Sus scrofa: one gene and its partner. The protein of the gene in region 2 binds, or shares a complex with, the protein of the main gene of each other region. Links are inferred from orthologs where the notes say so. Each region holds a gene or a part of one and is shown on either strand. Other genes may lie near its edges.

The links.
Region 1: BUD13 (region 2) and PPIL2 share a complex: the UniProt entries of both Homo sapiens proteins name them as parts of the minor spliceosome. The link is inferred for Sus scrofa from reciprocal best matches to the Homo sapiens genes BUD13 and PPIL2.

Annotation. Positions count from the first base shown.
Region 1 is NC_010456.5:50,222,281-50,227,025, forward strand, and holds part of PPIL2 (peptidyl-prolyl cis-trans isomerase-like 2), read right to left. Parts: intron 4,602-4,745; coding exon 4,539-4,601; intron 3,599-4,538; coding exon 3,547-3,598; intron 2,282-3,546; exon of another isoform or gene 1,926-2,281; coding exon of another isoform or gene 1,881-1,925; intron 667-1,880; coding exon 615-666; intron 1-614. UniProt on the Homo sapiens protein: Has a ubiquitin-protein ligase activity acting as an E3 ubiquitin protein ligase or as an ubiquitin-ubiquitin ligase promoting elongation of ubiquitin chains on substrates.
Region 2 is NC_010451.4:44,162,084-44,167,586, forward strand, and holds the start of BUD13 (BUD13 homolog), read right to left. Parts: upstream 3,319-5,503; 5' UTR 3,152-3,318; coding exon 3,009-3,151; intron 787-3,008; coding exon 693-786; intron 1-692. UniProt on the Homo sapiens protein: Involved in pre-mRNA splicing as component of the activated spliceosome. As a component of the minor spliceosome, involved in the splicing of U12-type introns in pre-mRNAs.

The DNA.
Region 1 (4,745 bases), on a different chromosome or scaffold from region 2:
GAAGCCCATGGTGCTCTACCCATCAGGGAGGGCCGTGCTCTGGTCCCCCAAGGTTCACAGCCAAGGTTCACCATGAGCCAGCACCTGCCATGGGCCGGGCAGCCTTGAGTGCTTAAGCACCTCCCCAAAACACAGAGAACTGCCCATAAAGAACCAAAAGCAAAGAGTGTCTACAAGGTCACCTCAGCACAGGCAATCTGGTCAACCAGAACAGTGGACAGCAAGGAGGGGTGCAGAGCAGGGGGACCCCAAGACTGGGCTGGACTTTATGATCAGTGGTGAGCAGAAACCAGCCCCAGAGCCGCCCACCCTGGGCTGCAGCCCAAGTAGTTTCTGTCTCCAGCAGGGACCAGACCAGAGCCACAGCCGGGCAGGGCCTGTGTCCGAGGGGCCCAGCTGTGCCCACAAAGGCCACCCGTGGCCCACATGTGGGAAGAAGTGCCCCAAACACCCCCCAGCTCTAGACTACCCAAATGTTTAAGAAGAAAGTATTACATCTTTGAGAAATTAAAAGCAAATGTCCTGCCTGATCAGAAAGGAACAAGGACTCAGTGAGGGCAGGGCCTCAGGCTCCACAGGCCAATCCCAGGGCTGGTTATAAAGGAGTCACTCACCTTCACTGTTCTTTGCAAAGTTCAGTTTGATCAGCGACCTCCCATCCAGTTTCTGGAAAAGTGTAAATAATAATTAATAACAATGAAAAATATGACAAACACTGAGGCCACAAAGCTGGTGCAACAGGCAGATAGCAGCCTCTGACCACCCCAGCCTTTGCCACTATAAATGGCATGGGGGCCCAAGGACCTGGTGGTGAACCTGGAATGGATGGCCCCCCTCAAAGCAACTTACTCCAGGTGCCGCCCAAGCTGAGGCCGAGGCGGGGAGGGTAGTTTCACGCCTCAACAACATTCAGGCATTTTTATGGTGAGCACCAACCACCCATGAAATTTTTAAATGAATGTTTCTTCAGCCAGACAGTGGGTACAGGCGTTCACCCTAACGCTCTGCTGTATAACTACCAGAGAAATAAAAACAGTGGGGGAAAAGGAATAAGTACACCCAAGTACCAAGAAAAAATGTGGTATTTCTCAAAATTTCTGTACTGTGCCTGTGACTTAATCTTCTATGGGAAGCTGGACAATAAAGCTGGGTCTGGGCAGCCAGAGGAGCCCCTGAAGTGGAGGTTTGGCCCAAGGAAGTGAGGGGCTGCAGGAGACCTCGGGCAGGGAGGCACAGCACCCCTGGGAACACTGGACTCAGGAAGCAGCCCCTGCGGCCACCGGTTGTCCTCTCCACACCTGCTCCTCTGCCGCCGCCTTCCTTGGTCAACTGCCCCATGCCCCGTGCAGGCACGCCTCTGCCAGGACAGAGGCAGGGCCGCCCAGGCTGCTCCCATGGCCAGCCCCCCTCCTCCAGGCACACATGACCCAGGGAGGCCCCCAGTACACTCCTCCCGTGGCTGATGCCATGGGGACCCTACTCAGAGGTGCGGCAGGGGCTCTGCTGAGGCCACACGGCTGACCAAGCCCCGCCTCCAAGGCCAGGGGCACCAGGGGGACTCCCCCAACAGGACGCCTGGAGCGAAGGCAAGGGCCAGTTCTTGAGAGGGGAGCCCAAACCATGGACGAGTCAGCAGCCACACTGGGCCAAGTGTCTGGAACCCACAAGCACCCATGGAGCACACAGTAATAGGAGGCAACTGGGGACTTGGGGACAGGTGCAGAAAAGGAACCACCAGGACATGGGGCAGGGCAGGGCCCCCAGCAGAGGAACCCCAGCCTCGACACAGCTGCTCCGGGGGGGCAGACATGGCCTGATGCTGGGGAGGCAGTGGACCCGGAAAACAAGCCCCTTGCAGTGGCGACTTGGCACATGCTGACCTGCAGGAACAGGTAACAAGACTGAACCGGCCGCAGCTCACACATCCGGAGCCAGCTGCCAGGACACTGCTCACACTCTGTGCCCCCAGCCTCACAGCACCTGGGTCCATGTGGGCCTCCTGGAGGACAATGACAATGATGGCCTCCACTCTCCACACAGCCTCCAGGATCTGTCCCAGAGCGGACCAGGCCTCACCCACCCATGCAGGGTGTGCTTCATCCCAGCAGACAGGGCTCTAACCACCGCTGGGCCTGGGTCCTGGCTATGCTGGTCCCCACACTGCCTGCTATCCCCAGAGTGGGCCAGACTCCATCATGGTGACCTCCCCTGACACCCTGGGGGAGCTGATCTGTCCTCCACAGTCCAGCAGAGGTCCCACTCTCCCTGCTTGCCCTCCTCAGCCCATCTCCAGCCCACCCCCTGCTCCTCCCCGAACCATTCCTTCCCCTCCACCCTCGCTCCGACCCTGAGGGATCTCCCTTCTATCACTAGCCTGAGATGCTGGGCACAGGCTGGATCTCCCAGCTCCTCCTGCCCATCCCTGCAGACACAGGACTAGCCAAGACAGTGACCACCCATCCTCCTAGACACCACTGTCCTGATGTCTCTGCACGTCCCAGTGGTCTAGGCCCTTGGCTCCACCTCCTCAGCCTTCACCCTGGTTCAAGTCCACTGGCACCTCTTGCCCAGGGTCCCCACCCTCAACCTCCTGCAGTCTGTTCTCCAAACAGCAGCCAGAGAGAGCCTTTCAAAAAGCCAGATTGCAGCAAACTCCAGATTAAAGACCTGCCTGGCTTCTGGCCCACCCAGAAAAAAGCCAAGCTCCCTCCTGGGCCTGCAAGGCCCCTGATGTGCCTCTGACCATTTGCTACCATCTCCCCTCATCCCCAGGTCTCAGCCTCAATGGCGCTGCTCCAGAGACGTCCCTAGGCCCACCCATCCTCCCCAGATCAGCATCCAGCCTCCCACCTACTCTGCTCGCAGTGCCAGGCCCCACACAGCATGGCTAACACTTTCCTGCTGAGTGAATGGAAGGAGGGCTAACTCGAGGTGAAGGGACAGGAGAGCAGAGGGGAGGAGCACGACACAGGAGCCAGGGCTTTAGGACAATAGTGAGCGGGGCATGTGGACAGGAGGTAAGCCAGACCTTAACCCGGGACTCTTTCACACAGGCCTGCATGACACACCATGCTCACCCGCCCTCACCACTGGGGTGCAGATTGCAGAGCACTGCTGCCTCTAAGGAGGAACACTCAGAGACGGCTGGTACCCAGAGATGCCTAGGGTCTGCGGAAACGCATTTTGTCTCACACGCTGCCATCAGGAGTTTGGAACAGCGTGACCTCTCTGGGGGGAGAATTTGCCAGGAGCTCCCAAACTGAGAACACAGCCCCCCAGCGGCCAGCAGTTCCAGGAGGACTGACCACTGTCTGTAACAATAGGGCCCACAGGAAGGGACACATGGACACTCCAGGCGCAGGCAGTGCCAGACATGCTGATCCCAGCCCCGCGGGATGACAGTCACGTGCGTGGCAGCATCAGTGCCGAGGAGAGATGGCTGCAGGCACACGTACTTGTGTGAGAAACAGTCTAGAAAGGCTTGGTGTGAAGGAGGAGGGGACAGTCCACCGACCACACCGCGAAGGCTCCTGCACAGCCGCCTACCTCTCCGTTGCTGGGGTTGGTCCCGTACTTCTTCAGCCAAGGAACGATGTTTCTGGAAGGAAGGGAAAAGAGCGTGTCAGCTGGCAGCCTGGGGCAGCCTGGGGCAGCCTGGCGACAAGGTTGCAGTCCAGGGGAGAGTGGGCAGGGGCTCTGCACCATCAGAGCGGCCACAGGAGATTTCTGGTGACATGCTCTTCAAAGTACATTCAAGGTTTTCACCGCGGTCATGTACAGACATGTGTAAACAACACAAACCAGCGGGAAAAGACGAACATACACATGGATGCATGTGTACAAGAAGATACTGAGCCAACATCAAAACTCATACTTCCTGAGGATTCTGCATGACATGGGGGGGGCGGGGGGAAGCTCTCATTATAACTCAGTGAAAAACGGATCCAGAACTATGTTCACCATACAACCTTAACCAGGTTACTGCAAATAAACCCCAAGAAAGGGAGGAGTGAGGGACTGACAGTGCTCATCCTGGACAGTGTGGTTACGGTAAGTTTTCTTTTTAGTTCAAAGTATTTTCCAAACTTTCTAAAAGGAGTCTGAACCATGAGAAAATTACAGAAGCTGGTTCAAGCCAGAACATAAAACTGAGCAAAACACCCCAAAATACAACACTAGGAAAATGTGCACTTTAGTAGTGGCTCTGCTTTCATAAAGTGAAAAACACTTGGTTCGCTGACACTGTGAAACAGGTGCAGGGCTCACAGAATGCCCAGGCCCCACTGTGGGGAGGGTCGGTGCCACTGTGGGTAGAGATCATAGCAGCACTGCTGCCTCGTGCCTGATGCCCTGAGAGTCCCTCCCAGGTCCACAAAAGGCCCAGCCAGGGATTCCCAGGCTACTGCGACCTTAGCACGTTCGGCTTGGCACTGCCTGGGGCTGTGAATGCCCCCAGGTGGCCCCACATCCCCTTCCAAGTGCCAACAACCTCACCATGTGACCACATTCATTAGTGCAGATGTCAAGGGAAAACTTACAGCAAGTCAAAGACGATGCCTTCAGGAGTGCAGACCGGGTAGGCGAAGGGCTGCAGAGAGAGACTGAGGAAGGACAGAGTGACAGAGTCACCCCAGGAAAGTGGCAGCTGCTCCCTCGCCTTCCCACTTCATTTACTGCTCCCCAACAATTCCCGGGCTTCTCTGCCCAGCCTGGGGTGAAGGCCGGCACAGAGGGGACCCCTAATC
Region 2 (5,503 bases):
ATATTTATATACTCCGTGGAATTTCCCAATGAAATAAAAAGTATGCCACCTGCCCTGTTCTCTAAAAGGACTTGGTGCACATGTCACCTGTCTTCCAACATTCATCACATTGCTGAAATTCAGTCTCCCATTCTAAGGTATGACCTCTATGTGTTCTATTAATCTACATATCGCCTATACTTAGACAAAAGTATATAATTTTAAAGCTTAGTTAAAATCAGGGAATAAAAGGAGCAAACAAAAAGTTTCCTTTAATTGAACCTGAACATTATTTTTAAGGTAGGTTCCAACAAACTGAACCACGGCTAATTCTAACGACAGCTCTATCACTGACACTGAGGAATCCTGCCTCTCTGTGATTTGTTCCCATTTCCAAGCTGATAGGGCCCTCCATAAACAAAGACTGTGTATAGCCATCGTCAAAGAAGACTATTTTACAATAGCTCCAGGAAAGTGTCACCTCGTCTCTGCCCTCAACTTTTCTCCTTACAAATAAATATACCCTGCACTGGGAGTTGAGATTGAGAGGCTTACACTTCAAAGTCCTCACAGCCTCAAAAGATAGAGGAGTTCCCTGGTAGCCTAGTGGTTAAGGACTCAGCAATTCACTGCTGTGATATGGGTTCGATCCTTGGCCTAGGACTTTCTCATGCATGCCCCTTGCTCGGTCAAAAAAATAAAAAGATACATACCACAGGCAAATCTCCATCATCTTCCTCTTCCTCCTTTTCCAGTTTAGTGGTGGAGATAGATGACCAGCTCACGTCATCATCCACAATCCGCATACTAAATGTGGAAAATAAAAAGATCAAAAGAGAAGAATCATTCTTGGTTAACAGCCAACAAACATCTATCTATTGGTTTTAGGCTAAAGCTCAAAATCCTACAAGATCTTATGGTCCATTCTTTGCCAGTATGGCCAACTTCATCTTATACCACTGCCTTCTCGGTTCCCTACTCACTGGTCATCTTCTGCTGTCTAGAATGAGCCAAACTCTTTCCCATATCAGTTTCACAAACTCAATTCCTTCTCTCTGCCTGACCTACTCTTCTCATTCTTTACTGGGAAACTCCTATTCATTCTTAAAATCCTAGCATATATATGACTTCCTTGAGCATACCTTCCTTGACTATTTCCCTTACCATCCCCAACTAAGAACCCCTGCTAGACATTCTTGGAATATTTCTACTTCATTTATCAAAAAGGAAATAAATCAACAAGTTGTGTAATTAGTTGCTTAACGGCTGTATTCCCATTGAACTATAAGTTCCATCAGAATAGGGACTATGCCTCTCTTATTTACAGGGATATCCTGCACCCCTCAACACCTTAGCATAGAGAATATTCAATAAATTTTGTTCCATAGATAAGCTATGGATGAGTCCAAATAATAAAAATAACTGCCATGATGTAAACAGTTATTTGAAAAGCCAAGATCATTAATCACAATCATTTAATATAAATGATACCATTCACTACTACTCTCATTTTAAATATGAAGAAATTGAGGCTTAGCCCAGAAAGTGGCACAGCTAGGACTTAAATATTGATCAGTGTCGCTGCAAAGCTCAAGCTAATTTCACTACATGGCACTTCCTCCAAGGAATCCACACAAGTCAGAGGGGGCTGGAAGACATAAAGGAAGAATAACGGGACAACCAAATCAGGAAAGGAAATGGATTAGTCCCTTGTAGCTATCTGACTTTACTGGGTAGTTTCCTAGAGCTGCCTAATAAAGTACCACAAAACTGGGTGGCTTAAAACAACAGAAATGTATTCTCTCACAGCTCCGGAGGCTTCAAGTCTGAAATCAAGGTATCTGCAAGGCAACGCCTGCCAGGAAGGCTCTAGGGGAAGATCTTTCCTTGACTCATCCAGTATCTGGTAGCTCCTAGTGGCATATGAATCCAGTCCAGTCTCAGCCTCCATCTTCACACAGTAATTTTCCCTCAAAGCCTGTTTTTGTATCCAAATTTTCCTCTTCTTAAAAGGACATCAGTCATATTGGACTTAGCGCCCATCCTAATTCACTATGACCTCATCTTAACTAATTACATCTACAAAGACCCTATTTCTTCTTTTTTTTTTTTCTTCTTTTTGTCTTTTTAGGGCCGCACCTACAGCATATGGAGGTTCCCAGGCTAGGGGTCGAATGGGAGCTGTAGCCCGCCAATGCCACAGCCAGGCAGGATCCGAGCAGCGTCTGCGACCTACACCACCGCTCATGGCAACGCTGGATCCTTAACCCACTGAGCGGGGCCAGGGATCGAACCCACAATTTCATGGATCTTAGCCAGTTCGTTACCGCTGAGCCACTGACAGGAACACCAGACCCTATTTCTAATGTCATACTCTGAGGTCCTGGGTGGTCATAAATTGGAGAGAAGAGGCACTATTCAACCCAGCACGCTGGGCCACGTAATTTTCCTTGTTTGACAAATGGGGTTAACAACAACATCTACTTCATGGTAGCGTTATGAAGCTTAAATAAATTCATGTATATCTAAAGGACTCAGAACGGTGCCTGGCACATGACAAGAACTGTACAAATGTTACTTGGTGGTGGTAGTAGTAGTGGTAGTAGTAAGAATAACAGGAAATGAGCACCAGGTTTCCAACTCAGGACGGGAGTCCTTAGGATTGGAGAAGCGCCCCCCCCCCCCCCGCCCCAGACAGGTTCTGGGCCCTAAATACCCAAGCCCAGAGCCTTTGAATTCGCTCCACCAATACTTTCAGGGTATAATATTCATTCTCTGCGAGAGAAGACGGACTGCTATAAAAGCGGGAAGAGAGTAATGAAAGTTACAGCCTGGCCTGAATACACCCAAGTTACTGCCGAAGCGCGCGAGAAGCGGCCCCGGCCGACTCTGGGCTGAGGCAGGGTCGGGCGAGCAGTCAAAGCCGGGCAGCCCGCGACCCGTCGAGGAAGAGCCGGGCCGAGGGCGGAGCTGGGAAGGCGGGAGGGGGGGGGCAGCCCCGCGGACCCAAGCCGCCAGACCCAACTCACCCCTTGCCGCCAGCCCCGCCAGTCTTCGGCCGCTTTTTGCGACGCTTGCGGCCGGATTCAGGGCCCCCGTCGACACCGGCATCTGCCCCGGACAAGTAACGCTTCAGATACTCGGCCTTGGAGAGCGGCGGAGCTGCCGCCATGGCAGCGGCGAGGGCGGGGAGACGGACGGGCGCTAGGGACAAAATTCTTGAACGCGAAACGAACGGCGAGGACCCTAGGAGGCGCAACCGGGCCCGGAAGTGGCCGAGTATTTGGAGCAGTCCAAGCTGATAGATGAAAGAGAGCGTTTAAGGGCTAATGAGGAATGAGCATATCTCCGGTGCCCAGTCTACATCCCCCCGCCCCCCGATGCGCAACCGTGTTTTTCCTGTTGTCCATCTATCTGCTCATTCAAGCCTTATTGCAGCAACAAGGCTACAACTGCGACTCCAGAGATCTACTTCAGAGTTGCAGCGCATCTAAGTTTGAGTTCTGGTTTCATAACTTCCTAGCTGTACGACCTTGGGCAAATTATTTAACAAAATGGGGATAAAAATCACACCTAAATCAATGGTTGCAATGACTTGAGAGAATATTACCGTGTAAAGTGCTTTGAACAGCATCTGGTACACAGTATGTTAGTTATTTTTATTAGCATGTTTAGATGGAGAGGAATCTGCTTTAATAGGCCTTCAAGAACCACTCAAGAGAGGAAGTCAGGAATTCCAAACCCAGTATAATTGTTCTGAAAAATATGGAGGTTTCTAACCTGTGTAACTTATCCACATTCGGTATTACTGGTTGCCCCTAGCTATCTCTTGTGTGGAAAATCTCCAGTGCAAAGGACTTGGATCTATTTTCAGTATCGTGAAAGAAGCTAGAAAGACTGAATTCTAATACTCAAGTTTGGGGAGAAGACTTTTTCTTGTAAGCATTAAGAGCTTTACTTGAATTATCTCATTTAACCCTCATGTTTCTCAGATAGTTTTATTATCCTTACAGATGAGAAAACTGAAACTTGGAGAAGTTAAGTTGCCCAACTTCACACAGCCAGAATATATGACCCTTGGGAGCAGAGGCCAAAAAGGTGGGGTACAAGAGGTAATACAAAATTTCTGGAAAAAAATTATATCTTACATTCTATGTATCTCATTATATATGTTAAATCACTGTAACTGTTTCAAGGCATTACTCAAGAAGGCATTGTCATACTTTATCACTAAATACATGTATCTTGGGATACATGTTCAGAAAATACTTATATGTAACAAAACAGGTTTGGAGATCACCGCCCTGAAGCAAGAAATTTTAACCTCTGGGCCATACTGACTGGTCACAGCACCGGCCCAGGAAGAAAAGCAGGCTGGGTCTCTTGAGGGCTTGTGAGAAGGGGGCACTGGACTGACAGGGGAATCAATAGCTGCAGGGGACCATAGGTCCCCCACCCACAACCTTGCCTTGGCTTCTAGTCTGCTTTAATGTACCTCAAGCTGGTGTCAGCAGACATGGGGAGTCTCCCACTGCCACTCCAGTGAATATTACTCCTATAGTTCTCTCAACCCCATGCCCTCCTGCCCTCTTCTGTCATCAGTTCTACCTCTACCCATTCCACTCAATACCTACCCTTAGCCTGACAAGACCCAAGCTCTAGTCTTAACACTTCCTCACAGGGCAGTTAAGCAGGACCAAAGGAATTCATGACCAGTGGCAGTCTAAGTTTTACCCTTTCCCTGCAGTTCAATGCCCCCGCCTTCCCTGACACCACCCAGACCCCTTCCCTGCTTGACATTCCTCCATTATTAATCTGACAATGTTCCATTTGTTAGTTTCCTGTCAACCCCCACCTACTGCTTGCCAATTTTCCCCACTATACTTAAAGCTCCATGAAAGCAGAGCTTTATTTTGTTCAGTCCTATGACGTGCCTAGCACAAAGCAAGCACTCAAACTTATCTATCGAAAGAATGAATGAGGAGTTCCCATGGTGGCTTAGGGGTTAACGAATCCGACTAGGAACCATGAGGTTGCGGGTTCAATCCTTGGCCTTGCTCAGTGGGTTAAGGATCTGGCGTTGCTGTGAGCTGTGGTGTAGGTTGCAGAAGCAGCTCGGATCCCGTGTTGCTGTGGCTCTGGCGTAAGCCAGTAGCTATAGCTCCAATTCGACCCCTAGCCTGGGAACCTCCATATGCCACGGGAGTGGCCCAAGAAATCACAACAAAAGACAAAAAAAAAAAAGGATGAAATGCCACCTCCGATCCTCAAATTACAGTGGCCACCCTGGAGAAAGTTTCTTTAGGAGGTTGAATTCTACCGGTATATCAAACAGGGAAAGAGTGAATTCAGAGGCCAGTGCCGTTTGAAAGCCACCATTTTAATGAGAACTTCTTCACCTGGGCCTGACCCCCTCCCTCAGGAGACTTTTCCTGTTGAAAGTCAGCATTTTGATACCCCAAACCAACTCCTAAACTCCAGATGCAGCTGTCTTCCACCTTCTCCAGCTTCAGACTTCCAACCC